Macaca mulatta: one gene and its partners. The protein of the gene in region 1 binds, or shares a complex with, the protein of each later gene. Links are inferred from orthologs where the notes say so. Each region holds a gene or a part of one and is shown in the gene's direction. Other genes may lie near its edges.

Region 1 (4,197 bases):
AAGGAAGGGGGAGGGGAGGAGGAGAGGAGGGGTGAGGGAGGTTTTGAGCGTGAGGAAGGGTGTGAGCGTGGGGAGAAGGCCTGAGAGTGGGGGAATGGACCGCAAGGCCAGCCTGGATGAGGTGTTAGCAGAAGCTGGCTGGGTCTGGACAGGAGGGGGTGGGCAGGGGCGGGGGGCACCTTATCTCTTGCAAGTGGGCGGTGCCGTTAGATCTAGTTTCAAGGCTTTGTGGCTGAAACGGGAGCCCACGCCCGCCACAGCTGGCCACCTGCCTCTCTCCTGACTCCCGTGCAAGGCCAGTAATGCAACCCAGGAGAAAGCCGCAGGGCGCCCTGGGTCCCCACCCCCTTCTCCGGCCACCCTGTGGCTGTGCATAGCCGCCCAGCAGAGCCCATGCAGGTAAGAGACCTGGGCTCAGGTTGGCTGGGAGGGTGGGGGCCCGGGGCTGGGCCAGGGGGGTCCTGCGGGAACAGGAGCCTGCCCGGCTGGCGCCCACATGAACCAGAGGTGCGCAGACCCTGGTGTCTGCCTGTGCCCCGGTGCCACCCTCCCTCCCAGGTCTGCATGCACCAGCCCCACAGACCCAGCGCCTGACCTCTGGGGTGGGCTCCTGGGGCCAGCACCCCATCCAGGCAGACGGTCCCCAAGGTGGGATGTCCACTGCTGGCTTCCCTCTGGTAGGATGCTGCAGCCAGAGGGCCCCCAGGCCTCGGAGGAGGGGGGCCCCCACAGGAGAGACTGCATCATCTGCTGCTCAGCCTATGACCTCTCCGGGCACCTGCCCCGCCGCCTCTACTGCGGACACACCTTCTGCCAGGCGTGTGTGCGGCGACTGGACGCCCCAGCACCCGAGCAGCGCTGGATCCCCTGTCCGCAGTGCCGCCAGAGCACGCCCACGCCTCGTGGAGGGGTGCCCATGCTGGACCTGGATCTGGCTGCTTTCCTGGCGGTCAAGGCTGAGCGGGAGCCGGCAAGACTGGAACCCCTACCCCTCACCTCCCTCAAAGGCAGCAGCATCACTCAGCAGCCAGCTGGGCTGTGCCCTGCCCTGGGTCCCCAGCCCCACTTCCCCCCTACCAGATACTGCTGCTGGGGCTGTGGCAGCCTCTGCTGCCCACCCCTAGGCAGCCCTGAGGTCTGAACTCTGGCCATTCCCACCCCTGCAGGGGAAATGCCTGCCTTGGAACCCCTGACCACGCACCATCATGGGCTCAGCCCACTCAGAGCAACCTGGCGGTAGCGTCCCGTACGCAGCTCCGTGGGGCCCAGCAGGGTGGTGTCATCCCAGCTGTGAACATCCCAGACCGCAGCCTAAGGTTGGGGGCTGGGAGGTTCCGCAGGAGGCTAGTGACCTCCCACCTGTCCTGGCCACAATTACCAGACCCCAAACTAGCCCGATCGGGTGTGCCTGGTGAGGACACTGCTGACTGGGTGGGTGGCAAGCCCGGCTTGGGCCTAGATGCAGCGCAAAGGATGGCTCCCAAGAGGACGCAAAGGCCAGAGCCGGAGGCCTGGGCTGCAGGCTGGAGGGGTAGGGCCGATCCAGCTACGCCTTGCGAGCTGCCCAGAGCAGGTCTCGCCTCTCCCACAGACATCCCCAGGGTGTACCAGGAGGGTGGCGAGACCACCTCCTTCCTCCCTGCCCTGCACGGCAGCCCTGTGAATTCACCCGCTCAACAAAGCTCATGGAGTTCCCACTGTGTGTCAGGCGCAGCTCCGGGAGGGTCTCGTACAGGCACGAAGCCGTGAGGGCATTGAAGAGGACGTCTCAGCGGGGCCTGCTTGAGGTGTCACAGCCCACTTGATCTCATCCTTGGCTAAACCTTTCCTGGCTCCCGGCAGCCACCACACAGACCCTTTTGAGGGGCCGGGGCCGGGGCTGGGGCCAGAGACTGGACAGCAGTGACCACCAAGTCAGTGCTGTAACCCCCCACACCCACTGGAAGGAGCTGTCACTCGGGAGCCCCAGGGAAGGACTGTGGCCCCCACCCCCAGAGCAAGGGCGCAGGAGGGAGACGGAAGAGAATTTGTCGGGAGCCCCAGGGAAGGACTGCGGCCCCCACCCCCAGAGCAAGGGCGCAGGAGGGAGACTGAAGAGAATTTGCTGAGCGGACACCCAGAAGTTTCTACCTTCTCCAGGGCAAAGTCCCCACGCACACAGCGGGGGCTGGGCGGCAAGCAGAGCAGGGCACCAGCAGCCCCTAGGCAGGGTGAGCCTCCTCCGGGGGAGCTACCCCACACCCCGGGGCAGGAAGAGGCCCAGTCCTCCTAGGGGACACCCCACAGGCGCTCAGGCCAGCTGGGATTTCTCTGGGGAAAGCTGTGCGATGGGCCAGGCAGTGGGTGGGGAAGGTGGCCTGGGGGGCTCTGTCCTCCTCCCTCTGCAGATGGAGGCTGCCAGCTACACCAGGGCCGAGCCCGCTAACAGCCTGCTGGGCCCAACCCTACCCTGAACCCGGATCTGAACCCTCTGACCTCGGGCTGGGTGCCCTCCCTGGCTACATGAAAAAGCCCATCCTCCACCACCACCTGGTGCAAAGGGCTTCCTTCCCCTGCTCTGCCGGTGGCAGGGATGACACTAAGGAGGTCTGGGGAGCCCTGGCCGGGCGCAGTGGCTCACGCCTGTAATCCCAGCACTTTGGGAGGCCGAGGCGGGCGGATCACCTGAGGTCAGGAGTTCGAGACCAGCCTCAACATGGAGAAACCCCGTCTCTACTGAAAATACAAAATTAGCCGGGCGTGGTGGCTCATGCCTGTAATTCCAGCTACTCGGCAGACTGAGGCAGGAGAATTACGTGAACCTGGGAAGCAGAGGTTGTGGTGAGCCGAGATCGTGCCATTGCACTCCAGCCTGGGCGACAAGAGCGAATCTCAAAAAAAAAAAAAGGTCTGGGGAGCCCTGAGATGCATGGAAGTGGGGGGCTGGCGTCTCCCGACCCCCGGGCAGCCCCAGCCATGCTCTAGCATCCTGCCTGGCTGGGTGTGGTGTGTCTCTTGGGTCACACGGATGCCTGCTGCAGATGCCCAGTACCGAGGGCCGGTGTCCCGCCCTGCAGTGCCCTTGGCCTAATTCGGAGCCCACCCCTGGGAGAAGCCCCACTCTGGGAGGGTTGGGCTGGGGTTTGGAGGTCTTAGCCACAGAGTGACAGGACGGGGACGAGGCCTAGGGCCCTTGGGGCCGGGGGGAACCCCCGTGGGGACCTGGGCTCTTGGGTAAACATTAATGGGCTCAGTACCCAGCAGATCATGTGCGCGATCAGGGGATCTTTGACCTGCAACTGCTCCCTGCAGGTGCCCCTCACCACCCACACAGGTAGGAGCTCCTAAGGCCAGGCTGGGGCCCAGGGACAGTGAGGCCGAGGCTGGGTGGCCTCCAGGCCCAGGGCTTGGGCCCCATCCTAAGCCTCCAGGACCCAACGGCAAGAGACGCCAGGCTTGGGCAGCAGGAGGGAGGGTGAAGCAGAGGACGCCTGGACCTGAGCCCAGGGCACTAGGTGGAGGGGTCCAGGTGGGGGACCCGAGGGGTGGGGTGACCAGGCCCAGGAGGCTGAGGAGGCAGCAGCTTCGGGGCCAGGAGCCTTGAGGCGGTGTGAGGACCCCACCTGCTCCCCATCACCAGGGTGTGGGGCCCTTATCAAGCCGAGACGTCACTGTTTAGTATCAAATGCCAAAGTCTAAGTCGGGACCATCCAGTGTCCCCGATGACACCTGATAGGAGAGGTCTTTAGGTTCCCCAGCTCACAGCCACTTCCAGCCTGAGCCCTGGAACCCTGCACCCTCAGCACTAGCCAGGCCTTACAGTCAGGACCAGCAAGGGAACCGGGGAGCCGGGGCCCCCTCGAGTCTACCCCTGAAACTGGACTGGGCTCGCCTGACAACTGCCTGAGGTCATTGTAGCCATCCCCCGTGGATGGAGGAAGGGAGGTGGTCACTGAGGCCTGCAGTGGGGAGGGAGAGAGGGTGGCCAAGGGCTCAGTTCAGGGGACCTGGGGCGTGAATCCAGCCTGTGAGGCCAGGGCTGGGGCACGGGGAAACGTCTCTGACACGTGCGTCTCCCCCAGCAGATCCGGGCCTGGGCCTGGGTCTGTCCCTGCCCGAAATCCATGCCGAGTTCCCTCCCGGGCAGCCAGGTCCCCCACCCCACTCTGGACGCGGTTGACCTAGTGGACAGGACTCTGAGGAATGAAGGTACCAGCA
Region 2 (4,091 bases), on another chromosome or scaffold:
CCACAATAATGAAACCCCATATAGCACTGGCTTCTAAACATATGGTGCATTTCCATTCATTTTTAGGGACAGCCCCTAAAGTAGTTTTTGGTTCAACAACCCTGGAAGAGGACCTTTGCACCTTTGCTCATCTTACACATCAAGTGTTCATGAACAACTCTGATGCCACTAAGTTTTGTTCACAAAATTGCACCTCGGTCATTGTGTTTTACCAAAAAAAAACAAAAAAAACAAAGTTATTTTGCAAAAGGCAGTAGATGTAATCTTGGCTATTATTTACTCTCAATTTTTCTTTCACCTCAGCCCTCCAACGAGAAGTTTAAAAGGAAACATCCGAGGGAGCAAGAAGTTTAGATTCATCTGGAGGAGTTTCTGTGGCGCCCAGCCACCCTCACCAGGTGCCTTCCATTAGAGTTTAATGCTTTGCTGGGGTTTCCTGAAAGAGCCCCACAAAGAGTGGGTCTCGATGGGTCCTGAACCGCACGACAACTGGCCAGGGCCTCGAGGGCGAGGGGCGGCGGCGGGGCGAAGGCTTCGGGACCCTACACGGTCCGGGGGACCATGAGCGAGGACCGGGGGTGCGGGGCCGCCTGGCGTCCCCGGTGAGGCGGTCTTCACGGGAACGCTCAGAGCAGGGGCGGGCGGGCGAGGGCTTGGAACGCACACACTGGGGCCCCGGGCCCGCGTCGCTGAGCTGGAGAGCCCGGCGGTGCGGGCCGGGTACGACATGGGCACTTTGGCCCCGTCACTGACAGTTGGCACCTGGGGTCCAGGTCGGCCGAGGCCACACCGGGGCGCAGGGCGGCGCAGATGAGGCTGTACCTGGCAGGTACCCACGTACCTATCATGGTCACTGGGCAGGTGGCGGCTGCGGGCCAGGAAAGGGCCTACGCGCGCACCGGCGCCAGCCAGCGCCTCCCACCAGCGGCTCTCCTGGGTTAAATCTTCCAGGGCTCCCCGCCCCGGCGCCGGGCCCTAGGAATGCGCACGCGCGGAGGGTACGCGGCCCAGGGCCTGCTGGGAGTCGTAGTTTTAATGCGTAGTTTCTCCTCACGCCTCCTGCCCTCCAGCTCACCGCCGCCTCCCTTTCCGGCTTCAGGCCCAGCAATCGTACGTCACCGAGGGGCGGAGCTATGCGCCCGCAGTGTTGACCAGTCGCTTAGCAACCGGGAGGCTTACCTTTGGAAGCTTGTTGCAGCTCTAGCTACGGTCCTGCCCTCTTCCCGCCCCACCCCTCCCCTAAACTCCCTTCACCTAGGAGCTGCCAAACATCTGGATCAACCTGGGCACTACGAGGGGTTGAATTTCTACCATTAACGCGCCTTTTGACATTTTTTTCCCGACCTCCTGCTCACATCCGTAAAACCCACTGATTCTTTTACTACACTTTTTATGAGAACAAGACATTTTCTAGGAAGATGGTGGCAGAAAAAGAGACCCTGAGCTTAAACAAATGCCCAGACAAGATGCCGAAGAGGACCAAGCTGCTGGCACAACAGCCGCTCCCGGTGCACCAGCCTCACTCCCTGGTTTCTGAGGGCTTCACAGTCAAAGCCATGATGAAAAACTCAGTCGTAAGTGATCTTCCTGAATTGAATGCACTCGCTCCGTATCAGGGGACACGAGATTTACAGAGGTTGGCCAGCCCTAGGATGGACTCTGAGCCCATGTCCTGGGTGGTCTTTGCCAAAAATGGCAATTACTTGGCAAGTAGCAGACGGTCCCCCACAGTGTGTGGGGGGCAGGCTAGGTTGTTAGAATCCTGGGCAAATGATATACTCTGCCCATTGATAAGCACCTTCCTGATAACTCATCGTTTCTAAACCGCCCAAAATTACTCTTACGCTATTTACACGAGGTAAAAAGATCCCCTTTAATTACTGATTGCTAACTAACCCCACTCAGCAAAGGGCCTTACAGAAGATGAGCTCTTAGAAATCATAAACTCTTGCAAAATTTAACATGAGCTGATATACAACTGGGAACATAAACTCATTAAATAATCTATAATGAGAAATTTTGGAATATCCTAGCAGTTACTCTAACAACACTTGTCTCTTAGAAAATGATGTCATCTTGTTAGAGTACTGAAAGCCCACTTAATATGAACACTGTTTCCTGACAGGCCTTTTAAGATGATGTGCTTTAAACAATACAAGCTTTAGCTCATGTGTCTCTGCTACTAATACAATTCATATTTCATCTGCATTATTTGTAGTAACAAAAATAAAATATTCTAAGTATCATTAGAGGAAAAAAAGATTAAAAATACATACAAATATTTTAGCTGTCTGCATGATAGTATCTATTTTTTAAACCTTCCTATTTGTTACATAGCTTTACACTTGGTATGCTAAGGCAGATTTTGCTACTGAGTAAGCACCTGTCTGGGAATGAGGCATTAAATAATAAATGCAGCTTTCAAATTCATATAATTTACACCCTGGGAAGATCTGAGTTATTACATGTGGCAATTCATTATGTTAAATGAGTAATGTTGTTTTCCAGTGTCACATTATTTCCTTTGCTTATATGTTGTAAACCTAATAACTTATTCCTAAACGACATACTTAAAATACATGAATGAAACAGATTACCTATAGACCTCTAGGCCAGGTTCCCATGTGGTTATGCAAAATGATATCCTAATTATTGAGAAGTGTGTCAGGTGATTTACAGTAGTTAAAATTCTTGGAAATAGACTAAAATTCTGCTTGTTGTAACTAATTCTTTTTCATGGAATTTCACATAAATTGGTTCTCCTAGGAGTCAAGATGATGCATTTATCAGCAATACCATAACCATTCAAGTTAATAATTTAGTTTTCTTCTACACAATATTTACAATTTTGGTGTTTTTTAATGTTATAATTGAATATCACAATTTTTTTTTTTTTACTGGTCAGGGTTCTTTTCTGTTATTTCCTAAACTTGTGTTCATAATTCTTGTATCATGTTAATTCTTTAATATAATCCTACGCCTAAAGAGATAGTTCTGCAAAATCTAATGTTTCTATATTGCCAGATGTAGTAAATATGCCTACATGACTTTAAAAGAACCACATTGATTATGAAGCAGGCTTCTTTATAAAGAACTTATTTGTGATACATTATCTTATCTTTTTATATTCTAAAGGAAAATCTTGTGCTAGCAATACTTCTCTTGCCATTGGAAATCATAATTCTTAAATGCAAAGATTATTTATCCATTCATCTACTTATTCAGTCAACAACTCTCTCTCTCTCTTTTTTTAATACCCAATACTTGTTAAGCACAGTTCTGGGGATTTGGGATCAGCAAAGCAAAGTCCCTGCCCTTAGTACTCCAAGGTAAACCAAAATAACAACATTCAAATCTTGATAAAAGAAAGCTAGACAATACTGTTTATACAAAATAACTTCAGTGGTACAAGAAATAAAAATTTTCCATTTCATAACCAATATTTACATTTCACCATTTTTATCTTTAGCAGTATAGACTTTTCAGCATTATAAGATCAAAATATCCTCATCTCTTTCTGAAGGTGTATTTCGATTCAGGATATGTATGACAATTTCCAGCTTTTCTTAATTGCGACCTCATGCTCAAAGGCCAATACCCTCCAAACCACTTTTCCAGTTAGATAAGTCACCATTCCAATGCTCTTCCACTTAAAACATGAAGAATTTTATATATCCTAAGGAGTTACACAGAGACTCCTGATATTTCTTTGAGTGCAATAGTGATACAAGTACATAAACTTGATGATAAATATGTTTCATCAAATGGGCTGTGCAAGCAGAAATGCTTATTTAAACAGTCAGTCTGGATATGAGAGCGCAAAATTATTGAAAAATAATGATAAATGTAAATGGCAAAATTTTTAAAATCTCAATGTCAAGTATTGTTCTTCAATAGAAAGTAGACTTTGTTTCCATGAAATTTTTGTTGCATTCTATAAGAAAACAAGCATCACAAAAGCCCTGCCATCAAATAATATTCAAATTCACATTTTTATAGTGCTTGCCTATAAAGAGATGTAAGAGATACACAATTTGAAGATTTCAAAGTTCATTTTCCTTTTAAAGGCTTTATTTGGGTTGCGATAGAGC
Region 3 (3,052 bases), on another chromosome or scaffold:
ACATTATCCCCCCTTGTAAATCAGTGCAGTTCCCCAGGATTCCCTTCTGGGCCCAAGAGGATTTTCTTAGGAAAAGCACTGAATCAGGCAGACATCCCAGAGAAAGGAGAACATGGCTTTCTTCTCCCTGTAAATTACTCCTCACCAAAGAAATCACTCCCCTAGTTTCCAACTGAGCGAGCAGTAAATCGTGTGCAGGAGAAGATAATTTATAGGGTGTTGTCTGATTCTTCCCACAGTAACAGACTGAAATATAAGGCACACACGTCAGGCTGGCTTTCACCATCTTTTCCTTGCCCTTAGGAACAGGCTTGGATGCATGAGACTTGAGACAAATAGGCTGCAATTTCAGATCACAAGTGAGGTGGTACTGACTCTTCCCATTCAGCAGGATGTCCTGGCTTTAATTTTAATGTGCCAACGTAGCTCATTCTAGGAATGAATTGACTTGGCATGGGACCGGCCATACAGAGAACTGACTGCAGCTAGCTGGGATGTGTTTGAAGGTGGGATGCCTCAGAGTGGGATAAACAAGTGTGTTTCTGAAGACCTTTTGCCAGCCCATGGATGCCCACTCTCTCCATTAGCGCCAAAGACCCCTACATGTGGCAGCTCCTGTCTCCACCATGGCCAGGCGGATGCCTTGCTCCTATCAGTAATGAGCCCACTGTGTCTGTCCTTCCAGGGGCTCCCCTACAAACACCTGATCACCCACCACCAGGAACCCCCACATCGCTACCTGATCAGCACCTATGACGACCATTACAACCGGCATGGTTACAACCCGGGGCTGCCTCCGCTCCGCACCTGGAATGGACAGAAGTTGCTGTGGCTGCCAGAGAAGTCTGACTTCCCCCTTCTTGGTATTTTTATAATTCAGGGTTTTCCTCTGAATTGGTCTGTAAAGGTGCACAGACCAATGCAGCTATACCTGCCTTATGCAGAAGGAGCCACACAGGTGGCCCTGGCTCCAGGAGAGCAGTGGATGACACAGTCGGGGCTGAGTCCTATTGTCCCCTCAGGGCTACCTCCTGTGCTCTCCCCTTGATACGGGATAATCTTGGCTGTGTAATGAAGCCATCACCTGTGCCCCATGATGGCATGCTTAGAGCACAGGTGGCAGGGAGCGCATCCACGCATCCTTCCTCCCAGTCGTATTTACTACATGAATAGTGACAATATTTCCCAGGTAGTGCTCCTTGCTGCAATGGTAACAAACACTGAGGAATTTCTGGCCTCGGGGAGTTGACATTCCAGTGGGGAAACAGGTAAGACACCACTAAAAAGTAAGAACACTTAAGATCACATAGATAATTTTAGACCGGAATGTGTGCTATGGAGAGAAAACAGGTAATGGATAGAAAGTGAGGTGGTGAATTTGTGAGCCTCCTTTGGTTCACACGTTCCTCCTTGGAAAAGTGAGGGATGGTCTTTGTTGAGGAGATAGTTGAGTTGGGAAGAAGGGAACCATACAGGGATCGATGGGGAGGGCATTCCAGAGGAAGGAACAGAAAGTGAAAAAGGTCTACGGCAGGAATGGAGGAGGGCCATGTAGGGGCTCACAGGGCACAGTGAAGGGAATGAAATTTGTCCTACCCACAATCCCAAGACCTGGAATGCATTTTTGTAGGAGAGTGCCTTGATCTGATTTACATTTCAAGCCACGTCCACCCTAATGAGGACACAGAGCAGTGCCATCTCTTTGTGGTCCTACCTTTTGATGCAAAGGGACATAGGTCAGAGGATGAGCTGCTGGTCACTCTGCATTACTTTTGCATGGGATTCTTCTCAACATCACTCTCCATGCACACAGCTTCCTTCCCGAAAGGGGTGGGACAATTACTCAGGACTAGCGAGGCCACGCACAACCTCACCATGGGGGCTGACTTCTCCAAGGCCCCCGTGGCAGAGCCTGGTCTCCCCTGAGCACTTGGGATGCAGGTGCACCTTGAGACCGCCAGGGGCTGACTGAACCAATGCTCTCTGCAAGGCTTCTTCCCTCTGGGGCTCTGCTGGCCTTGGTGCCTGACAGAGCAGCCTGGGAAAATCTCCAGCGCCCCTGCTGCCCAGTCTCGTGGCCATTTAGAGCAAGACTCCTTCTCTAAGCCCCATTCAACAGGACCCTGGTTTCTCTTGCAGCTCCCCCTACAAACTATGGACTCTATGAACAACTTAAGCAGAGATGGCTCGCACCCAAGGCTGGCCTGAAGCAGAGCACGTACACTTCATCCTACCCCAGACCTCCGTCGTGCGCTCTGTCCTGCAGGGAATATGCGATTCCGGTCCCTCCCCATCGCCTGCATCCTGTCCCACACTTCTGAGAGCTGCCACCCCAGTAGCAGCTCAGATAGAACCAACTGGAGACCCACAGCATCCCTGGACTTGCCAGACAACAAGCGGCTGCAGATAAACTCAGAGTACAATATCCGGCCTGTCAAGGATGCCCTCAGAATAACCATCTGCATTTGGCGGTACCTGTCCCCTCCTCAAATCCCACAGGTTCCTTTCTTTCCATCCCACAATTAAAGCTCTTTGACACTATTGCTGGGCTATGTACGTGCACAAGACAGATTCAGACTGTCAGAGAAAACAGGAAGGGCCCTTAAGTTCCACCCTGTTGTTTCACAGGAGGGGAAGCTGAGGTCCGGAGAGGTAATGAGACTTGCTGAAGAGTCTAGTCCCATGGAGGAAACGAATCTGATGATGAAACCCATCGTGAAAACTCCACAGAATGACCGAATGTGGTTCCCAGGAGGGCAGTGCTGCAGAGCTGGCGTTGGGGAAGGACCCCAGCTTGTCTGTCATTGCCAAGGCAGAGGAAGGCGTGCTCTGGCCCCATGGGACTCGGAAGGGGAAGACACATGGCATTTCCTCTGTCTCTGAGCTCGCAAATCTTTTTTTTGTTTGTTTGTTTGTTTGCTTTTTTTTGAGATGGAGTCTTGCTCTGTTGCCCAGGCTGGAGTGCTGTGGCATGATCTCGGCTCACTGCAACCTTCACCTCCCGGGTTCAAGTGATTCTTCTGCCTCAGCCTCCTGAGTAGCTGGGACTACA
Region 4 (3,562 bases), on another chromosome or scaffold:
ACCTCAGGTGATCCGCCCTCCTCAGCCTCCCAAAGTGCTGGGATAACAGGCGTGAGCCACTGCACCTGGCATCACTTGTCTTAAATATTTGAGTCGAGTAACCTGGAAGCTATCATCGTAAACCTTTTAGTATCACTGAAACCTTTTAACTCATTAGAAAGTTCTTCTAGGCATGTTTAAACTTTATAGCCAATTCCGACAGTTCATTTGAAGGTGAGCAAAGCCAGTGATGATAATGAAATGTTTTCCCACAATCGTACAGTCTCCTCTCCCTAGCTGTTGATTAGGGTTTCCATTTTCAGATTTGTACTATTTTTGTTGATGTATTTGTGCATTGTATGATTTCTTTTAGGCAAACACATTGATAAACCCACAGCCTATTACCACATTTCAACAGAAAATTAAAGATAAAAAAGAATCTATATATCTTAGCAATCGACGAGCACCATTAGGAAAATCTCATGATCAAGCACCAGGATTACCTAAAGGAATGGACACAATCAATACGACATTTGGGACAGCAATCATCAGAGGTAGTAAAAAAAAAAAAAAAAAAGGGGTGGGAAGGGGCTGGTAAAATAAGTTTCTTTGGAAAATTTGATCTCATATCTTATTTGTATGATGTTTGGTGATGGTGTAAACAATGACTCAAGAAGGAAAGATGGGATTGTAGCAAGAAAGTTATTCTCAGGGCCGGGCGCGGTGGCTCAAGCCTGTAATCCCAGCACTTTGGGAGGCCGAGACGGGCGGATCACGAGGTCAGGAGTTCGAGACCATCCTGGCTAACACGGTGAAACCCCGTCTCTACTAAAAAATACAAAAAACTAGCCGGGCGAGGTGGCGGGCGCCTGTAGTCCCGGCTACTCGGGAGGCTGAGGCAGGAGAATGGCGTAAAAACCCGGGAGGCAGAGCTTGCAGTGAGCTGAGATCCGGCCACTGCACTCCAGCCTGGGCGACACAGCGAGACTCCGTCTCAAAAAAAAAAAAAAAAAAAAAAGAAAGTTATTCTCAGAACCAAAATCCTTGACATGTATGTATGCAGAAGCAGGAAAAATTCAGGTATTGGAGTCCAGATATAGTGAGCATAGTAGGTATGGTGTAAAGACAGGAAAGTACTCAATAAAAATTGGCTCTGGGACTAGCTAGAGAACTGCAATCCCTTTGCCTTGGACATCCATTCGTGTGTTCTGTTTCCATCAGTGCTTTACATGTGTTCGTGACTCTGAACTCTTTATGAAACAGAGTTCATGGCACAGGTAAGTTTGGTAAATGCTGTATACCACACTCCATTCATGCAGATCCATGAGGTCTACGTGCATATTAACCAATCACAGGGCAGAGTGACTTCCACTCTGATTCTGAGGGGGAGTAGAGTACCATCTTTCAACAAATAACTCATTGGAACTGGTCATAGGCCATTCTTCCTTCTGAAGACCCAGGTTCCTGCCGTGTTGTTGGGTGCCTTTCTTTACACCTTTCTCAGATTTCTCTCCTTTACTCTTTTTGAGGTTATCCCCTCCCTCTAGGAGTCTTACCATAGGAGATCTCAAATTCCATCTTTCTTTATTTTTGTGGAGAAATTCTCTCTTTGTCTTTCCATACCCATTGAGGCTCTCTTCCAGGAACCTTAGCTTTGTTCACCGAAAGGCTCACTAGATTATTTTCCTTAAGGTAGTGACATCTACTCTGAAGATAGATTATACTTTGGAATGTAAAATCTGGAGTTGTACCTTATTACCTCAGATCTAAAGTTTTTTAAAATTTGACACATGAAAAATGTATTTTAGAGTAGATTAAATATCCTCTCCTTTTTATGTTTCATAAACATATGAAACATATATACTTATATTTATAAACTATATATATTTATATTTATATAGAGACTGGGGTCTCACCATGTTTCCAGGCTGGCCTCAAGCTCCTGGACTCAAGTGATTCTCCCACCTTGGCCTCCCAAACTGCTGGGATTACAGATGTGAGTGACTATTTCCCACCTCTTCTTTTCGATAGGTTTAAGAAATCCTATGTATATGAACTGTTAGACATGGCATTATAGCCATTATATCATAACTGCTACCTAGGATTAGTTTATTTAATGTGGAAAGTATTCTCTAAGTGTTCCTCATTTAAATATATACAAAGAAACAATGTTTCAAAACATGTATATATGTGTATCATTAAGTGTAATGTTCATATATCAAAAAGAAGTTCTGCTTTACAGGATTATTTTGATTGGAATCATCTTCTGATATTCTTAACTATTAGTTTATATACCTTAATTCTTGGCAGAAAGGCCAAAATAAAGGAAACTTCTTAATCTATGTTGTTAGGTCAAAAGGGAAGAGTGAAATTGTAAATGGAGTTACATTTACAAATTATTATCTAAAGCAGTAAAAACAAAATTATTCACTGTACACAAAACTGGGTACCACTAGTCATGGGAATGCAGCTATTAAACAAACATTTCTTCTAGATTTAGGACCAGTAGAAGAATTTCTCCCTGATTCCAGTGATTTCCCTGGTACCTCTGGCTACACTGAGGATACAGATTCATTTTTAAAAATTAATTAATTAGTTAATTAATTTTTTGAGACGGAGTCTCACTCTGTTGCCCAAGCTGCAGTGCAGTGTTACGATCTCAGCTCCCTGCAACCTCTGCCTCCCAGGTTCAAGTGATTCTCCTGCCTCAGCCCCCCGAGTAGCTGGGATTATAGGCATGTGCCACCACACCCGTCTAATTTTTGTGTTTTTAGTAGAGACAGGGTTTCACCATGTTGCTCAGGCTGGTCTCAAACTCCCGACCTCAGATGATCCACCCACCTCAGCCTCCTAAAGTACTGGGATTACAGACCTGAGCCACTGAGCCTGGCCTGGGAATACAGATTCAGATCCAAACAGACACAGGGTGTATGCTTCCATCTAAAACTGCCAAAATTTACACCATGGCTACCCCATAGGGCGTTAGGGGTTCTAATTTGTGGTTCAGATTTGTTTAGATCATCTTGAGAAGTCTGCAGCAAACTAAAATAGAAATTGCACAGAGATTCTCAGGACCAGGAATTTAACTGTGCTTGGAATATGGCTTACCACAACTAAACAGTTAACTGATAATAGAGTTCTTTTTTTTTTTTTTTTTTTTTTTTTTTGAGATGAAAGTCTCGCTCTGTCACCCAGGCTGGAGTACAGTGGTGCCATCTGGGTTCACTGCAACCTCTGCCTCCTGGGATCAAGTGATTTTCCTGCTTCAACCTCCCGAGTAGAGTAGATGGGACCACAGGCAAGTGCTACCACACCTGGCTAATTTTTGTATTTTTCGTAGAAATGGGGTTTCACCATGTTGGCCAGGCTGGAATTTTTTTGTGTGTGTGTTTTTTTTTTAGTAGGCATGGGGTTTCATCATGTTGGCCAGGCTGATCTCAAACTCCTGACTTCAGGTGATCCACCCTCTTTGGCCTCTCAAAGTGCTGGGATTACACGTGTGAGCCACTGCTCCCAGCCAACTGATAATAAAGTTCTAACATGCTTCAGACTTCTAGGGGGTGAGCCAGGTCAAGGGGGCTTC

What was found.
Region 2: the proteins of TUBB4B (region 1) and PACRG are in contact, whole or in part, in a cryo-EM structure (PDB 7UNG), measured with the Homo sapiens proteins. The link is inferred for Macaca mulatta from reciprocal best matches to the Homo sapiens genes TUBB4B and PACRG. Residues at the interface, in NP_006079.1 of Homo sapiens: Glu194, Phe260, Pro261, Arg262, Gln291, Phe294, Asp295, Ala296, Arg306, His307, Gly308, Arg309, Tyr310, Val333, Lys336, Asn337, Ser339, Tyr340, Phe341, Gln375, Ser413, Asn414, Asp417, Ser420, Gln423, Gln424, Tyr425, Gln426, Asp427, Glu432; in NP_689623.2 of Homo sapiens: Glu40, Gly41, Phe42, Thr43, Val44, Ala46, Met47, Met48, Val53, Arg54, Gly55, Pro56, Pro57, Ala58, Ala59, Gly60, Ala61, Phe62, Arg65, Lys154, Arg160, Arg162, Arg191, Gln192, Pro195, Asn198, Ile199, Phe200, Asn202, Met203.
Region 3: the proteins of TUBB4B (region 1) and CFAP107 are in contact, whole or in part, in a cryo-EM structure (PDB 9CPB), measured with the Bos taurus proteins. The link is inferred for Macaca mulatta from reciprocal best matches to the Homo sapiens genes TUBB4B and CFAP107. Residues at the interface, in NP_001029835.1 of Bos taurus: Lys19, Glu22, Asp26, Tyr36, Asp39, Ser40, Asp41, Leu42, Gln43, Leu44, Glu45, Glu53, Gly56, Gly57, Tyr59, Pro80, Leu215, Leu217, Thr219, Thr221, Tyr222, Gly223, Asp224, His227, Leu228, Ala231, Gly244, Gln245, Phe270, Pro272; in NP_001033296.1 of Bos taurus: Thr74, Val75, Glu76, Gly77, Leu78, Tyr80, Lys81, Leu83, Ile84, Thr85, His86, His87, Gln88, Glu89, Gln92, Arg93, Tyr94, Leu95, Ile96, Ser97, Thr98, Asp101, His102, Pro133, Pro138, Thr139, Asn140, Tyr141, Leu143, Tyr144.
Region 4: the proteins of TUBB4B (region 1) and EFHB are in contact, whole or in part, in a cryo-EM structure (PDB 7UNG), measured with the Homo sapiens proteins. The link is inferred for Macaca mulatta from reciprocal best matches to the Homo sapiens genes TUBB4B and EFHB. Residues at the interface, in NP_006079.1 of Homo sapiens: Asp26, Glu27, Asp31, Pro32, Thr33, His37, Gly38, Asp39, Ser40, Leu42, Gln43, Thr55, Gly56, Gly57, Lys58, Ser78, Gly79, Pro80, Phe81, Gln83, Leu215, Lys216, Leu217, Thr219, Thr221, Asp224, His227, Pro243, Gln245, Phe270; in NP_653316.3 of Homo sapiens: Tyr523, Gly524, Val525, Gly526, Leu528, Ile529, His530, Asn531, Arg532, Tyr537, Arg539, Asp542, Arg545, Ala546, Ala549, Ala550, Arg552, His553, Lys556, Tyr608, Asn624, Phe625, Trp628, Asp630, Lys631, Thr686, Leu687, Leu688, Ser691, Asp692.

The regions. Positions count from the first base shown.
Region 1 is NC_133420.1:5,222,935-5,227,131, reverse strand, and holds the start of TUBB4B (tubulin beta-4B chain), read left to right. Parts: upstream 1-1,336; 5' UTR 1,337-1,347; exon of another isoform or gene 1,348-1,697; intron 1,698-2,523; exon of another isoform or gene 2,524-2,887; intron 2,888-3,152; exon of another isoform or gene 3,153-3,887; intron 3,888-4,061; exon of another isoform or gene 4,062-4,064; coding exon of another isoform or gene 4,065-4,188; intron 4,189-4,197. Other genes in the region: RNF224 (RING finger protein 224), read left to right, coding at 683-1,141; SLC34A3 (sodium-dependent phosphate transport protein 2C), read left to right, coding at 4,065-4,188. UniProt on the Homo sapiens protein: Tubulin is the major constituent of microtubules, a cylinder consisting of laterally associated linear protofilaments composed of alpha- and beta-tubulin heterodimers.
Region 2 is NC_133409.1:9,423,153-9,427,243, reverse strand, and holds the start of PACRG (parkin coregulated gene protein), read left to right. Parts: upstream 1-1,239; 5' UTR 1,240-1,418; coding exon 1,419-1,574; intron 1,575-4,091. Other genes in the region: PRKN (E3 ubiquitin-protein ligase parkin), read right to left, coding at 842-848. UniProt on the Homo sapiens protein: Microtubule inner protein (MIP) part of the dynein-decorated doublet microtubules (DMTs) in cilia axoneme, which is required for motile cilia beating. Suppresses cell death induced by accumulation of unfolded Pael receptor (Pael-R, a substrate of Parkin).
Region 3 is NC_133406.1:227,946,575-227,949,626, reverse strand, and holds the end of CFAP107 (cilia- and flagella-associated protein 107), read left to right. Parts: intron 1-685; coding exon 686-863; intron 864-2,139; coding exon 2,140-2,321; 3' UTR 2,322-2,541; downstream 2,542-3,052. UniProt on the Homo sapiens protein: Microtubule inner protein (MIP) part of the dynein-decorated doublet microtubules (DMTs) in cilia axoneme, which is required for motile cilia beating.
Region 4 is NC_133407.1:28,644,564-28,648,125, forward strand, and holds part of EFHB (EF-hand domain-containing family member B), read left to right. Parts: intron 1-352; coding exon 353-533; intron 534-3,562. UniProt on the Homo sapiens protein: Microtubule inner protein (MIP) part of the dynein-decorated doublet microtubules (DMTs) in cilia axoneme, which is required for motile cilia beating.